2 linked regions of the Neodiprion lecontei genome follow. Each later gene encodes a partner of the first gene's protein in a complex. Links are inferred from orthologs where the notes say so. Each region holds a gene or a part of one and is shown in the gene's direction. Other genes may lie near its edges.

Evidence for each region. Proteins that work in one complex are often made in the same cells at the same time.
Region 2: conserved oligomeric Golgi complex subunit 1 (region 1) and conserved oligomeric Golgi complex subunit 5 share a complex: the UniProt entries of both Drosophila melanogaster proteins name them as parts of the conserved oligomeric Golgi complex. The link is inferred for Neodiprion lecontei from reciprocal best matches to the Drosophila melanogaster genes Cog1 and fws.

The regions. Positions count from the first base shown.
Region 1 is NC_060265.1:22,252,043-22,259,866, forward strand, and holds conserved oligomeric Golgi complex subunit 1, read left to right. Parts: upstream 1-1,813; 5' UTR 1,814-1,963; coding exon 1,964-2,235; intron 2,236-2,508; exon of another isoform or gene 2,509-2,522; coding exon 2,523-2,690; intron 2,691-2,806; coding exon 2,807-3,095; intron 3,096-3,186; coding exon 3,187-3,388; intron 3,389-3,623; coding exon 3,624-4,944; intron 4,945-5,623; coding exon 5,624-5,903; intron 5,904-6,286; coding exon 6,287-6,505; intron 6,506-6,682; exon of another isoform or gene 6,683-6,777; intron 6,778-7,290; coding exon 7,291-7,407; 3' UTR 7,408-7,539; downstream 7,540-7,824. Other genes in the region: tyrosine-protein phosphatase non-receptor type 9, read right to left, coding at 1,478-1,588. UniProt on the Drosophila melanogaster protein: Required for normal Golgi function.
Region 2 is NC_060263.1:35,787,785-35,794,379, reverse strand, and holds conserved oligomeric Golgi complex subunit 5, read left to right. Parts: upstream 1-2,000; 5' UTR 2,001-2,236; coding exon 2,237-2,276; intron 2,277-2,376; coding exon 2,377-2,469; intron 2,470-2,560; coding exon 2,561-2,685; intron 2,686-2,803; coding exon 2,804-3,023; intron 3,024-3,116; coding exon 3,117-3,259; intron 3,260-3,347; coding exon 3,348-3,614; intron 3,615-3,700; coding exon 3,701-3,821; intron 3,822-3,890; coding exon 3,891-4,008; intron 4,009-4,088; coding exon 4,089-4,229; intron 4,230-4,316; coding exon 4,317-4,700; intron 4,701-4,789; coding exon 4,790-4,915; intron 4,916-4,996; coding exon 4,997-5,105; intron 5,106-5,226; coding exon 5,227-5,442; intron 5,443-5,574; coding exon 5,575-5,754; 3' UTR 5,755-6,093; downstream 6,094-6,595. Other genes in the region: ankyrin repeat, SAM and basic leucine zipper domain-containing protein 1, read right to left, coding at 6,174-6,320, 6,391-6,595. UniProt on the Drosophila melanogaster protein: Required for normal Golgi function and necessary during spermatogenesis. Required for cleavage furrow ingression during cytokinesis in dividing spermatocytes and for the extensive polarized cell growth that accompanies spermatid elongation.

The DNA.
Region 1 (7,824 bases):
CAAGGTTGATTTCTAATCCGTGTAATGTTTACGAAAAGTATGAGATTTCATTTTACTTCTCCATACTCACGCGAAGTTAACGAAAAATAATGGAAAAAAACGAAAACGGAATTCGACGACTGATGTAGACGTAGTATTAATGCTTCGAGAAATTCGCCTGACACTGCGTCCGTAAATTAAAAAACGTGCAAATAGGCGTGTGTGTTAAATACGGTTATACCCTTTACACGAACACGTTCATACGGATGTGAGTAATACGTCAAGCCAAGAGTATATCCGGATGAAACGTGGCGTTGATTCAAGAGTATACGTTATGCACGTACTTTGTATAAGAATTAATGACAAAAAAAAAAAGAAAAAAGTATTCAGTTGATAAAATAGAAATGAAAAAGTTTAAATTGAAACGGGGCAACCAGTTGCGTGTCCTCTAAACTGGGGTAAATCATACAGAAATGGTACCATGAAAGTAAAAGTAGAGTTTGTGATCGAACGAATATTGAGAAATTAATAAACTGCTGTTTATCTCTTTCCCCGATTCGATTGCAGACTTCTTCTTCAGCGAAAATCGTGACACAATCAAGGATTTCGAATGCCCTAATAAAACTGGAATGTGCGGTGGAATTTAATGCTTTGAAAAGTAGTTGAAGGTTGATCGAGATCTCGTCTGATATCAGATGAAACAGCCGGAGTTTGTATAATGGAATGCAGTTACGTCGTTGAAACGCTCTAGATTTTGGCTCGATCCTGTGCTTTTTTTTATCCGTTAAAGATTCGAGGCGTGCCTGGTTGAAAGTAAGGCGTACGTATTCCGCGGTTTGAAAAAATTTTTTTTCATCCGTTTCCCTTCGAGTACGTAATATTTATTAAGTATATGAATTGTGAGAAACGGAGATGAGAATATTATAGACTTATATATGTAGAGTGTGTTTACACGTGGCAAATGAATGTAACGTTTACGTTGCGACGTGCAGACGGGCATATAAATAAAAACAAGATACGCAAGTGTATAATAATGCAAAGATCCGGACCGACGATCGGGTACAGAAAACCGTCTCTTCGTCTCTGAATTTACCGTACCTAATACACAATTTGAGATGCACCCGGAAGTTTCGAGCACGGATTTTAATTTGTAAACGTAAACAAATAATAAATAACTCGAGAGAGAGACACGCAACGAGTCTATTGGAATTGCGGATTTCACCACTTTTCACGGGGGCTATTTATACACCGCACGACAAAAAAAAAATGAATAAAAATTAGTCCCCGCTGTCAAGCAAACCTGACGGAACTCGCGGACGTGCGGAAGAGGTGTTGAAATGTTTACATTCGGTACTCGCGGTGTTATTTATACACGTTGAATAGCAGTTTGAAAATACGTGTGGAAGCGGGGAAGGGGCGAGAAGTCTCATAGCTCTCAATGAAATATCGCTCGGCGATGGATTCTCGTTCCACAAATAACAATTCGCATTTCACTTACTTGTTCCTGCTCGACGGTCAACGCGGCCGCCATGTTGGCTTGACACTGAACACAGAACACAACCACAAACGGCGACTGGCTCCAACTGCAGACCGAACGCCACACTAGCATTGAGATATTTGTGTCTACAATACGCGCCGCACTGAAGAATGAAGAAAACGTAGATGCATGACTCGCAGCGTAAATCTTCGTTGTATCGAAGGTTCGGCAGACTCCCGCTAAGCGCTATTGGCGCTACATTTTGACTAAGATAATGCCTCACGGCGCCGCAGATTTCAAACTTTATTAGCGATGATTCATTTTGCATGAAGATGAGGTTGAGCCAGCCGAGAGATGTTGACGTGAATTTCCAATGTGTGGTATTATTTCGAAGCGATCATTATCCGTATCTCCCGGTGTAGCAGATCAGGACGCGATCTCTAGTACCGACACAATTGACTGACAAACCGACAACAGAGATCAAAGCTATGAAGGCACGGATGCCTAATGTCAGTTAGTTGGTGCAGGAACAATTCGAGGTGCGTTGGTCTCTGGAACGCATGTCTTATGGTTTCGGATATCAGCTGGGATTGTGTTGATGTGTCAAAATCAAAAATTAGGGTTCGGTATTTAAAATTTAAAATGCCAGTTGTTAATCTTTTGGAGCTGGATATAAAAAAAGTTTTCGAGGGTCATACGATTAAGGAAGTCGAACAGATACAGAAAAAAATTCAAAATGAAAGCGAACGAAAGAAAGTCGAGCTTCGTACGCTTGTTGGGTGAGATTTTTTAGGTTAAGAAGCGTAGTGTCAATTTGTAATCGTAGTAGTTTTAAGCTGATTTTTGTATATAAATATGCAAATAAAATTTTACCGATTTTCCCCACGAATAAAAAATACCATCAGCTTATTCCTGACAGTTTGTTTTTCTTTTTAATATTCTCATTTTGATGACTTAACGATTCATTATGACAAAAATGATTTGTCCTGCCAGTGAATATTTAGGTAATAGACTTATCCATTTTCAAAAACAAATTGAGAACAAAATACCAGTATTTTTTTGACAGAGAACGATATCGAGATTTGATAGAAGCTGCGGATACGATAGCAGAGATGAAGCAGACTTCCGAGTGCGTTATAGCAAGGATCTGCAACATGGAGGAGACTTGTCATAAGTTGCAACAGAAATACCTCATCGGGTTTAAAATGGATCCACCGGAACAGATGTTGGAAAGGTAACAATAGCGCAAAATCATTCTTGGATACTTAGGTTGACACCAATATCCGAATTCTTGTACCCTCATTATAAATCAAATGCCAAATACATTTGTGAGTTAATAAACGTTTGTAGCAATAAGTCAAATGAAGCTTACGACTCGATAGTAATGCAAATCAAAATTCTGATGGACATACCGGAGCAAATATGGTCGGCGGTAGATACGGAGAACTTTCTACTGGCCACACAACTGTTTTTGTTCGCTCAGCACATCAATTACAGTCTAAGGATTGAAGTTGGCAATTCGGACCTGGCTACCAAGTATCCGATAATTCTCAAACAGTGGGGCGTCATAAGCCACTTTAGAAATGTAATTTTAACTGGGTGTAATAAGGTTCTGCAGTCGCTTGAACTCCCAGTTGAGGTACGCGACAATTTGATATATTATTATTACGTATAAAGTAAATTCGAGTATGAAGAATAAAAATATATGGATCTTATCTGTCGATTTACAGTCAGCAGCCAATTGTTTAGCTTCACTGGTTCTTTTGGATGGCATGGCATCTACAGAGTTGTTGAAGAAATTGATTACTCTTCGAAGCCAAGCCGTCGAGGCCGTAATAAAAGACGAGAGCCATCTTAGCGTGAGGAATCGAATTAGCTTGAGCGTTAAGATGCTGACACACGTGATCGATCTGCTTTATTCCTGTTTTGTGGGTAAGAAAAATTACCTGATTGTGGAATTGACGTATTTTTCGTCATTCTTCAAGTTCGGTAACATCAGTTGTTGTATCTTTCTAAGAATGTCTACGTACTATATAAAAAAACCTTTTTTTTTTTTGTCATGTTTCCTCTGAAACCTCATTCCCACAATCTCTACCCATACTATTCATTCATAAATATTCATGCTGAGGAATCACGATTTCTCCGAATCTTGACCATGTGATTTCAGAGACGAACGGCAAGGAACAGGGCCTTGTGTTGCAATGTGTAGAGGAAGTAGCTGGTTCAAACGCGCCAACAACTTTGTCCCTGCTAAAGGTAGACAGGGATTTGACAGATAAATTCTTGTCACCATTCGCAAAGAGCCACAAACCGTCAACTCGGGGCGAGATTGAACCAATTCCGGAAGCGGAGTTAAAAAATAATTTGACAAACTGGCTCAGCTGGGTGGAGGGTTTTGTAAAACGTGAGGTCTCAAAACTGCTTGATCTAGTGACGTCGGTCAAAGGGATACACAATATCAGAGAAGAGGTTCTCGCCCTGGAAGTTCCTCAGAATTGGGAAATCATGTGCAAGAAATTATCTTTGGAAAAGACGGTAAATTTCTGGGGGGATTACTTTCAGCTGTTGCTGACCGAGCGTGTAAAGGGAATCGTGAGCATCAAGTGGGACGAAACTCTGTTCAATTTGAAGACCGACCTCTTCGACACCCTGAACAAGGTGGCCCACGATAAATGCGAGTATCCCGAGCACGATCTGAGGTGGTACATTTGGAAAGATTCCCCATCAGACATACCGCAAAAATTGAACAGGAACGGGGCCGACAACGATCGGCTTTTGCTGATGAAGACGCGGGGCTTTTCTCCGAATTTGGCTAAACTTTGCGAGAGTTTTGACAGAAATTTGCTCAACCTGCTGCAGGATCTTCACCTTTATCTTTACCAAAGTCAAAAGTCGACAACGACGACGACCGATCTCCTGGCTGTTAAAATCTCGAGCACTCTGAATAAGTTCGTAGACCGCGAAATCGTGCAGGAACAACTCCAAGTAATAAGCACGCAGAAGGTACACGAATTGTCACAGTTTATCAGGGATGAATGCCTCGTCGAAGATGCGAAGGTGGGAAAGCGGGAGGTGAACGCGATTCTGACTGCGAGGTTTTTCCAAGCACTGACTATACTCTGCCCGAGCTTGAACAAGTGTTTCACCCTTTCGAAAGTCTCGGGTATCGTTATACCGAACACGAAGTGGCAGTCGATTTGCGATACTTTGAGGGATGACAGCCTCGCCGCTTGGACAGTTTGGGCCAAGATTTTCAAACGGAAAATTCACGATCACAAGGAAGGAATTATGCCAAGGTCTCTCAACGTTTTGAAAATGCAAACAATGATTTGCGACTGGGAGAAAGTCACGATCGAGGAGGAGGCCGAGGAAGGGAAAAGAATGAAGTCTGAAATTTTGGTACCCTACCAACCTTCCATATCCGTGCAGAAGTTCCTGGCCGCTGTTAGCAAAGACTTGAATTCGATAATTCCTCACACGTTGCCAAAGTGAGTACTTTTGCACGCTTGCAAGCTATTTCTTATCTCTATTAATTTTGGTTGCATTGTGATTGAAAATTTTTTAACTTCGTATGAAATATCGGTTCAATTTTTAATAAGAGCTTGACTATTTCGATCAACTGACTTTCTACTAATCAATGTATAATAAGGATATTAGGTATTCAATTTTATCAGCGTAATACGATCTGCGGATAATCTCAAATTTTGATGAAATTTGAAATGAGCTGGTTTTATACCGCAGAGGTATTTAATAACGTAAATATTGTACGAAAAACCACAGTATAATATCAAAGAATATTTACGTAAGCGTAATTCGTACTCCATCAACTTTCATATTGAAAATTCAACTTTTTGAACGGAAAATTTTGTGAATACGTTGATAAAAATTGGTTCACCGGATGAATAGTAGAATTGGATTATACGAAGGGTAAGATTCAGTTCGGGCTATGCTGAAGAGATTTTTGATCGTTAGATATTTCGTCCCAATGTCAGCTTCCGATTTTTTTCGGACCCGCGTTACTGTAGACGCCGGGTGGTAAATGTATCTGTCCGAAACAGACTTGCGGGATCAAATGAATATAACGTAAACATTTTGAAAAGAGTCGACAAGACTTGTGGATGAATTTGGAAAGAAAAATATGGGTTCATTACACTCGCCTAATTCCAGGAAAATACTACACGAAATAGTGGACACGGTAGTGACGGAATTGTTTGAATATTACGCGGAGTTATCGAAGAATGACGACTTGAAGCAGAAACAAGCCCTGCAAACGTTGCTGGACACGAAATACGTCACACTGTTAATGATTCCTCGAGAGAATAAAAAATTTGTAGACAAGTCGTCTCAAATATGCGACGACATTCAGTCGAAGATCGATCCCTTCGATTTGGACGTATTTTATCCGTTCATACACGCGAACGTAAAGAAGAGCGCTCAGAGGACGCAGGTAATTTATTGCGATAAAATTTTTCCATCCAATTCATCGAAAATTACATTACTCGCGTTTTGGACTTTTGTTTACTTTAAAAATTAAAAATGCCAATATTTTTTTTTGCATCATTTACGCCGTGTCAGACGCATTCAAAGCTCATAATTAATTAATCAACCATCTCGGATGGATAAGTTTGAAAGGGAAACCGGCACTCCTATCTGGATCCCAAGGCATGAACCTGAATTATATATCTCCATTGCCCCGTGAACCGGGTACATAGACACAATGGAAAATTTGCAAAGCCTTTACACGCGCGATGAACAGATTCGGTACAAACGCAATTAGCGTTGAGTTAAAAATCTGGTACGAAATCACCATTGAGCATCTTGGTCTTCCAGTTGATATTCGGAAACCTGGTGCCTCACTCGGAGCAGCTGCTCTCCGTTCTCGGAGCCCGGATGAACCCTGTAGCTGGTGACGGCGCAAAAGGTGCAACAGAAGCTCCAGGAGTCCTGGCCGTTTGTTCCGGAGCTCCGTGGTTTCCTCCTCTGACAGTGACAGCGCCGGCGAGAACGGTGCCAATAGTCCCGATAGCCTCGCTGCAGGACAAGTCGATGGTAGGCATGAAAAAACGTGACGAAACAAGTCCGCTCTTTCCGGACGTAGTTTGCCTGAAATGGAAAATTAGGAGAACGGAGTGAATTTTAGTCGGTCAAATTACGACGCTAGTTTATGCGTGAGGCCAAGTACACCGAACCGGAACTCGAGCTAAACAGATAATTTCGCGTTTATAGAGTACCGCATTACGAGTCCCGTTGCCTTCGTAAATTTGGCTTAACAGCGGCGTTTATAGGGTGATGAACAGAGGGAAGGGCGCTGCATGGACAAGGTAGACCAGCTCGTGAAACTGGGAATTTAATGCTCGCCCACGGTTGTCTGGTGTTAGTTAACCAATTACAACGGGAGTCGGTGCCTCCTCTACAGTTTGTTTGGCCCTGACTAACGGAAGACAGAAACGTTTCTCTGCAAACGTAACAATAACAATAACGCCAACGACAACAATAAAAGTAACAATTCTTATTAGCAATCCGGTTAATTGTCCCAATCGATTACAGTGGATTAATTACAATTATGGACAATGTGCTGTGTGTATGTACATACATACCTGTATGTACACGCCTTATTAACCGTCACCGCCGAGCGATAATAATCTCTCTGCGAGTACATAACACGACCGCACGCTTTTGCTATTTGAATTTTTAATTCCCAACGACTTTGAACCGTTTATTATAATCACTGTGTGTGCTTTGTATAATTAACGTTTGAAATCCCGACCATCTGCCGACTATCCAGGTCTGGTTCAAGTTCTCTGTGTACCTAATGTAAAAATTCATTATTTTAGCGGAAGAAAACGCCGACCAAGACTCACGCAAGGACCGATTCTGCCGGAGCCAGTATCAAGTCAGGCGCTGCCGCCTTCTTCGGAGCCATGGGTTCCGATTGGTTCGGTACCGGATAGAAAAATTCAATGCAAATATCGAGCTGTATTGTACAGTGGCTGGTCAGCTTGTGTTAATAAAATTTGTAAATATACGCATCGTCCAGATATTGTCGAAAAAATAATCTCGAATAAATCTGTCTGGTTGTTGAATTTTATTCTCACATTTACTCGAAGCTTCCTTTCTATTTTTACCTTTCGCCAAATCCCTTTCCTCGTCTACCAGAAATTAGATATTCGCCAGGTTATTAGATTGCGCGGTTCGAATAGAGCTCGTGTAATCTCAGGGATTAATTTTATAACGCGTATTACACACTACTCGGAATATCTGCTCAGCTGGATAAACTTGTGGTTGCAGATATAACTGGCATTCGAATTATTAGAACGCTTACCACGCGTTATACCTGTTGCCTTGGCAGCTGAGAGAAGCTTAGGCTT
Region 2 (6,595 bases), on another chromosome or scaffold:
CGATCTCTCGCGTCAGTCTGATCACGTATCGTGCGAAGATTTGTTGGAATTTGCGTGCGACGGTCCAAACGTTCGCCGAACACGGGGACCTCGCAACGGAGAGCAATCGGATGAGGTCAGAATAATGATGAAAGTGTTACACGAACAATCAACACCCGAGTCATGCGTCGAGGCATTGAACGTGTCAGATTGGGATGTTCTAGCAGCTATAAAGCTCGAAAGACTCCAAGGGTTACTCAGAAAGGAGAACAACTTTGTCAGGCTCGAAGATTGCAAAGTTATGTTGGGTCAGTGTGGCGGCGATGTTGTAAAAGCTGCGGCTTTGCTTAGAAATACAGAAGATACCGCTGCTGTTTGATGCTGACCAGTCTATATTTTGTTCAGCTTACAGGAAGTGATTGGGTTAAAAAGATTTTCTTCTGAAATTTATTTATTGCTTTGATTTAGTTCTGTATTTTCCTAAGTCGTTTTCAAAGCCAAAAATCTTTCTATTGTTAATTACGACTGCATAGAATCCTGTCAAATATGTTGAATATTTTATTTTGTGTTCCTTAATTTCAATATGTACTAATTTGTCTTTGACGTTTATTACTTTACTTTTCATCATTTCGATTTCATTATTATAATGTAGTGATGAAATTATGTCATCATCAGTTCCAAAATAACTTTGTTTCCATAATCGGCCTATGCCAATTAAGTTGGAAAATTGTGCTCTCTCGGCTAGTTTTTTTTTTATGTTACGAATTGAGAATTTTGCACTAAGTAATCTCAAGTACTTAGCGCTGCTAAAAGCCTAATTATCGAGTTTAACTGTTGGTGTGAGATTAAGAAGTATCGATGTCTCAAGTTGATATAGAATCACGGCTTTGTCTTCATTCATTGTTCAGACAGTGTTGATCATTACCTGCCAGTCAATCGAACTTCCAAAAACGTAGCACCTTATCCGGTCTAATAAGTACTGGGGATGCTGACTTTGTAGCAGTGGTACATAATTTTATAAATTCACTCTGTAGCAGGAATTCAGAACGCATTTACGTGACATTTTAGAGATCAGAGACGTAAGTCATTGCGCTCACACATGAAGATGGGAGGCACTTTCTACAAATAGTCTTCTACTTTCATTGTTTGCATTTAGAAAATATCCTGCACTCTACTGCGGAACGAAACGTGTACTTATGTAATGCTTGCTTTTGTACTTAAAAATCGTGGTATTGATTCGGCTCGTCCTATACCATTATATTATTTTGAGATGTCGCTAAAGTTTGGAAGAAATCCGGAAGTATATGTATAATCAACGCCCTATGGGTCGCGGGTAGAGATATAAAATAAATTTAAGTTACAAATCATTATTATACATATACTACCAATTAATGTTCTGCCCAATACCCCTGAGTAATTGTCAAACCATTTTTATATCTATAATTTTTATACATGATTATATTAATATTTATATACATACATGTATAATGTATATACGTATATATATCTACGTTGTACAAGAACGGAGAGATGTTTTATATCCATTGAATTTACAATAATATATACCTGAAATTTCAAAGTTTGCCTACAAATATACGGAGGTGTAATTGTTATTTTATTGGTAGCCCCTTTCCATTCTACAAGAAGATTACTCAAGATTAATCTATTACAATCGAATCAAGCAATGTGCACACGATCTTAAATTCAACAAATGTTGACAATAAAAAAGTGTCAGAATAATAATCTATGAAGAGATTAGAAAGTGCGGCACGTGGTTTCGCATCAAAATAAAAAAATTTCTCCAGTTTACAAATCTGATTTCAACGCGATCCAGGATGTGAAGTATGGAAAAACAGCGTATCAATGCCAGGTGTAACTCAATAGGGTCAAAAATAAGTAGCCTGAACTTGAAAAGTCATCTTTACAATCAATTTTATAATGATAATTTTTCACTACAATTTCTTACGAGAAAAACCTCAAGGTAGCTCCATCTAGTGTTCTGAAGGCTCTAATTTTGAAACCCACAAGTTTGCCAAAAGCTGGTCGTGTCTGACAGCTTGGCACTTTAATCAAAGCTTAGGATTCATGATTGACGTGAAACTAAAACCTGAAGCTATTTCATATTTTATCAAGAAAGAATAATTTTTCTTCAGCAGACAGAGAAGACCATGAAAAATTGGCGAGCGGTTTCTGACTTTTGGTGAATCGAATTGCTAACACCGAAATTTGCAAGATATTGTGTGAATAACCTTAAAAAATGAGCAACGTGTCAAATTGGCAGACCATTGAAAATGACGGTAAATTATAAAATTCAACCTGTAGCTGCAATCCTGGATAGATTAAAATAATATGCATTTAAATTATTTGAATATGCATCTCACGTAAATGGAGTTTCAGAATTCTTCAAGCAATTCCTCGGAGGTGAAATTAAGCAGACGAATTTTAATCAAGTGCTATCAGTTGCTCAGCAGCTCAACAAGTTGGCTCAAGGCATGTATTTATCCAATTATAAATAACAAACAATAATACAGGCAGTATAATCGTTTGAGAATGTTACCAATCAAGTGTTTTCTTTTTACAGCCATAACAGTTCTAGATGCCGAACTACAAAACCAGGTATTAGCCAACCATGAAGATCTTCTTTCCCAAGTGACATGGGTCGAGAAGTTGGAAGGCGTACTTTCCACAATGCAAGCACATGTGCAAGTGAGCTGATTTGTGACGTTTGAATCCATAGATTTGTATCCAACGCGCAAGATATTATTCTTTACTTCGAACTCCGGATTACAGAATTTTTAAATGTATTGTTTTCCTTTTAATTCAGAGCCTACTATCAGCAGTTGAACGACTCCGTGGAAAAATAGTGGAGCCATTCAATAGAATCGAGACACAGACACTGGTCTTATCGCGGCTTCACGAAACTTCTGACCTCTTACGGAGAGTAACAAGAATGCAACACCTATCAAGACGCTTACAATCACAAATGAGCAGTAGCACAGCTAGTCCTGATTTTGTGAAGGCAGCCAACAGCTTGCATGAATTAGGTACTGTAATGAGGTCACAGTAGCCTTAGTTTTATAAAATAATATTATAAAAGTCTACCGATTTTTCCTACATCAATTATCGTTATTTCACAGAGCAATTGATGGTTGACACGGACTTGAGTGGGTTAGACGTGGTTGCTGAAGACCAGAGAGCTGTTAAAGTTCACAGAGCGACTGTTCAGAGGATAGCTACACATACTTTGTCTCAAGGTTTACAATCCAATGATCGTTCGCAGGTAAACTGATTGATTCTAAGCCACTATTCTATCCTATAAAACTTTATAGAGGTATATTCGTTTGTATAGAAATTATTTACTTATATAGGTCAGCACTGCGGTGCAAGTATTTTCAAATTTGGGAATACTTGATAATACAGTAGAAACTACTTCTACTCAAGCCCTTTCTGAGGTTGAAAAACTCGCCAGAGAGGCACTGGATATATCTGTACCCACCAATCAAGATATAGGAAAAAGAGGTGGGCCTGGAAGAGCAGCCCTACCTTCACCTGGCTCATCTGGTAATCTGCGCACACGACTTTGGGCTAATTTGGAACGTCTTTTTCAAGATTCAGTTTATACACAATGCATACAGGTTTGATTTCTAGTAACTCTGCTATCTGTCAGCTTTTCTCCATAATTTCTGTACATTATTTGAAACTCATAACATTTCTTGGGCAGATTGAGTTACTTCAAAGAACATTATTGGAAAATCACTCAAAGGGATTTGACGATCTATCGGAGAAGTTCTGGCTCAATGTTACAGGACTATTGGCTAAGATTCTAATCGAACGTTCTCAAGGTAAAATCATCCTTTAGCCAGAATGATGATTAAATTTCGATGGTAAGTATAGATGTACTTATTTTACAGGATCTTCATTTATCAAGCAGGCATTAGAAGGGGAGTATCCAAAATTTCTTAGAATATATCTGGATCTTAGTAAACGTCTCAAAGATAGATCGCAAGCCATTGGTGTGTACGCTATAAAGTAAGCTCTTTCCTATATTTTGACTTCATAAAAACTTACTTCATTCAACTCATTTCATCATACAAATTAAAAATTTTTAGTAGAGACGTGTTGTCACCGTTTGAAAATGCTTACCTGTCACGCTCGGTATCTAGACTACTAGATCCTGTGCATACGATGTTTTCTGGAGATGGAGCACCAAACCAGGACGAAATAGATAGCTTAATTCGTACCGTTACTAGGTGATTACATGTTGATGCCGAATTGATAAAGTTCGTTGAATAAGGGGAACTACAAAGTATCTAACTAATCAAATTAAACTAATGCAGTGAACTGAGTGTCTCATTGGTGGATGAAGGATTGTCAATGGTTGTTGCACGCAATGTTGGTAAAGCTGTGCGGCTTTTTTGCTTGAAATGCGAACAAGGCTTGGTCACTGGGGCAGAAGCAAGTCAAGTAATTGACAGTCCAAATGTCGGCCAACAATTGAACGTCACTCTTGCCAATTTACTACATTATCTTGCTGCCCAAATGGGTCGTGTGATAGCAAATATGGCTGGCAGCTTACCGGTTGGTGGAGCATCGGTTATAGCGTCTGCTCTAGAGCACACCGATACATTGACGAGAGGAATACTGGCACCATTACTAGCATCTATCACTGACGCAGTGGAAAGTATCCTCCTAACGATGCACGATGATCCAGAGTTTAGAGAGTGAGAGTTTTGTTCGGTTGAAATATTTGGTATTTTATATACTTCTTGCTCATTTTGAAACTAATTCTGATGTCTCTTATCACTGTCAGATCTGGGAGTCCCTTAGGAAAAGAAATTGGGAGCTCGTTGTATATGCGCGAGCTACAGGGCTTCATACTCCGATCTGTTAACACATTCCTAGTTCCATACAAGAATCAAACAATAGTTGCTGAATGGTAGGTGGGCATGATTCCTACACATTTGATCAGTAACTGTCTACTAAATCGTGATTATTAAAAATGAATTTTTGATTTCAGTTGCAAGAGTGTAGCTTCGAGATGCATTGAGTTGTTTGTTAGACACGCTTGCCTTCTGAGGCCACTAAGTGAACATGGGAGGGCTAAACTCATTGCTGACTTCAATCAGGTATATCCACTTATTAGATAAGTTGTGTCAAATTATTAGCTTCGTTATCAAAAGGAATAAAGTTAGCGACGAACAGCGATGGAGCCTTTAGGAAATAAAAACGGCAACATTCTGTTTGCAGATGGAAGTGGCAGTGATGCCGCTGTGCCGAGGGGGGCAGCTTGGCTTGGCTGAGCAGCAGCAGTATAGAGTGCTTCGAGCACTCAGAGCGCTGCTTCCACTTAGACCAGAAGAAATGGTTCAACGAGTGTTAGAGGGTGAAGGGAGCGTACCGTCTTCCCTTGTCCTCTTACATCTATTTTCTGGTGCTCCGAGTGATTTGCCATCTCCTCATCAGGTATTGAAAAAATAAATTCTTCCCATTATTTTTGTGAAACCTAAAAGGATTTGTTATACTAGTCACAAAAGCTTGATTAAGCAAAGCTATGGAAATTGTAGCAATGAGATAATCTATTCTCGATATTTATAGAGTGCAGGTTGGTCTGTGAGTCGACTGTCTCAGTGGCTGGATGCTAATCCTGGAGAGAGAGAGAGATTGGCATTGAGCAGTGGCCCTCTACAACGATACCAGTTGGCTGTTCGCCAAAGAAATCAGCCAACATTCCATCCGCTTTTTCCCCTCATGGCCAAGTTAGCTAGTCTTAACTAGGTAGTAAGTTTACAAAGTTTTATTTCGTAAGAATATTTGGTTTGTGTTTTTTGCAATGTCAATTAATAAAAAATGTTTGGCAGACCAAAAATATTGGATTTACCTGCTTTGGAGATATTTTCTGAAAGTTGCAAGGCAAAAGTACAATGAAGAACTCATGATCTACACCAATTCAAATCAGTCTTGAAAGATGACGGTGCACATTGCACCATCAAACTTAATTAGGATTATTTTATAGATATTAACGGGTGTCATGGCACTTACAAAAATTAGAATTATTTAACAGTAATTAATCCAGTATAAATCATCTTAGTTACAGGTAAAAAATAATATTTAAAAGTTGACGTAAAAGTAGATTGTTCAATGCGAAGTTCCTTAACATTATTATCACACAGTCATCAACTATCAACATATATGTATTAATTCCATATTCTTTGGATATAGTTGGTCCTTGAGAGATACATTCCTATGATCAAAGTGACACCAATGATTATGGTCCAGTCGGATTTCTTTTTTTTTGGTCCAATATAATCAGCGGGAGGAATTAATTTTGTGTCTTTGCTAATCTACGAAAAATCAACAGGGTGTTACAGATTTGATATTGATTTGAATCGTTTTACAACATCTTTTGCTTACCTTTTTAGCAAGAGTTTTCATATATATTAACTCTTTTTCAAGTGTCAGTAAAGACTGTTGACTTTTTTGCAGCTGACCGCTGTACTTCATCTTCTCTGTATCCGATAATTGAAGATTTTGTTTCCTTGCTCCCTCGAGACTATTTTTAATAAATCTAATACCGGAACCTATTACACCTATCTGCTTTGCTGCGTGCCCTAGAGAT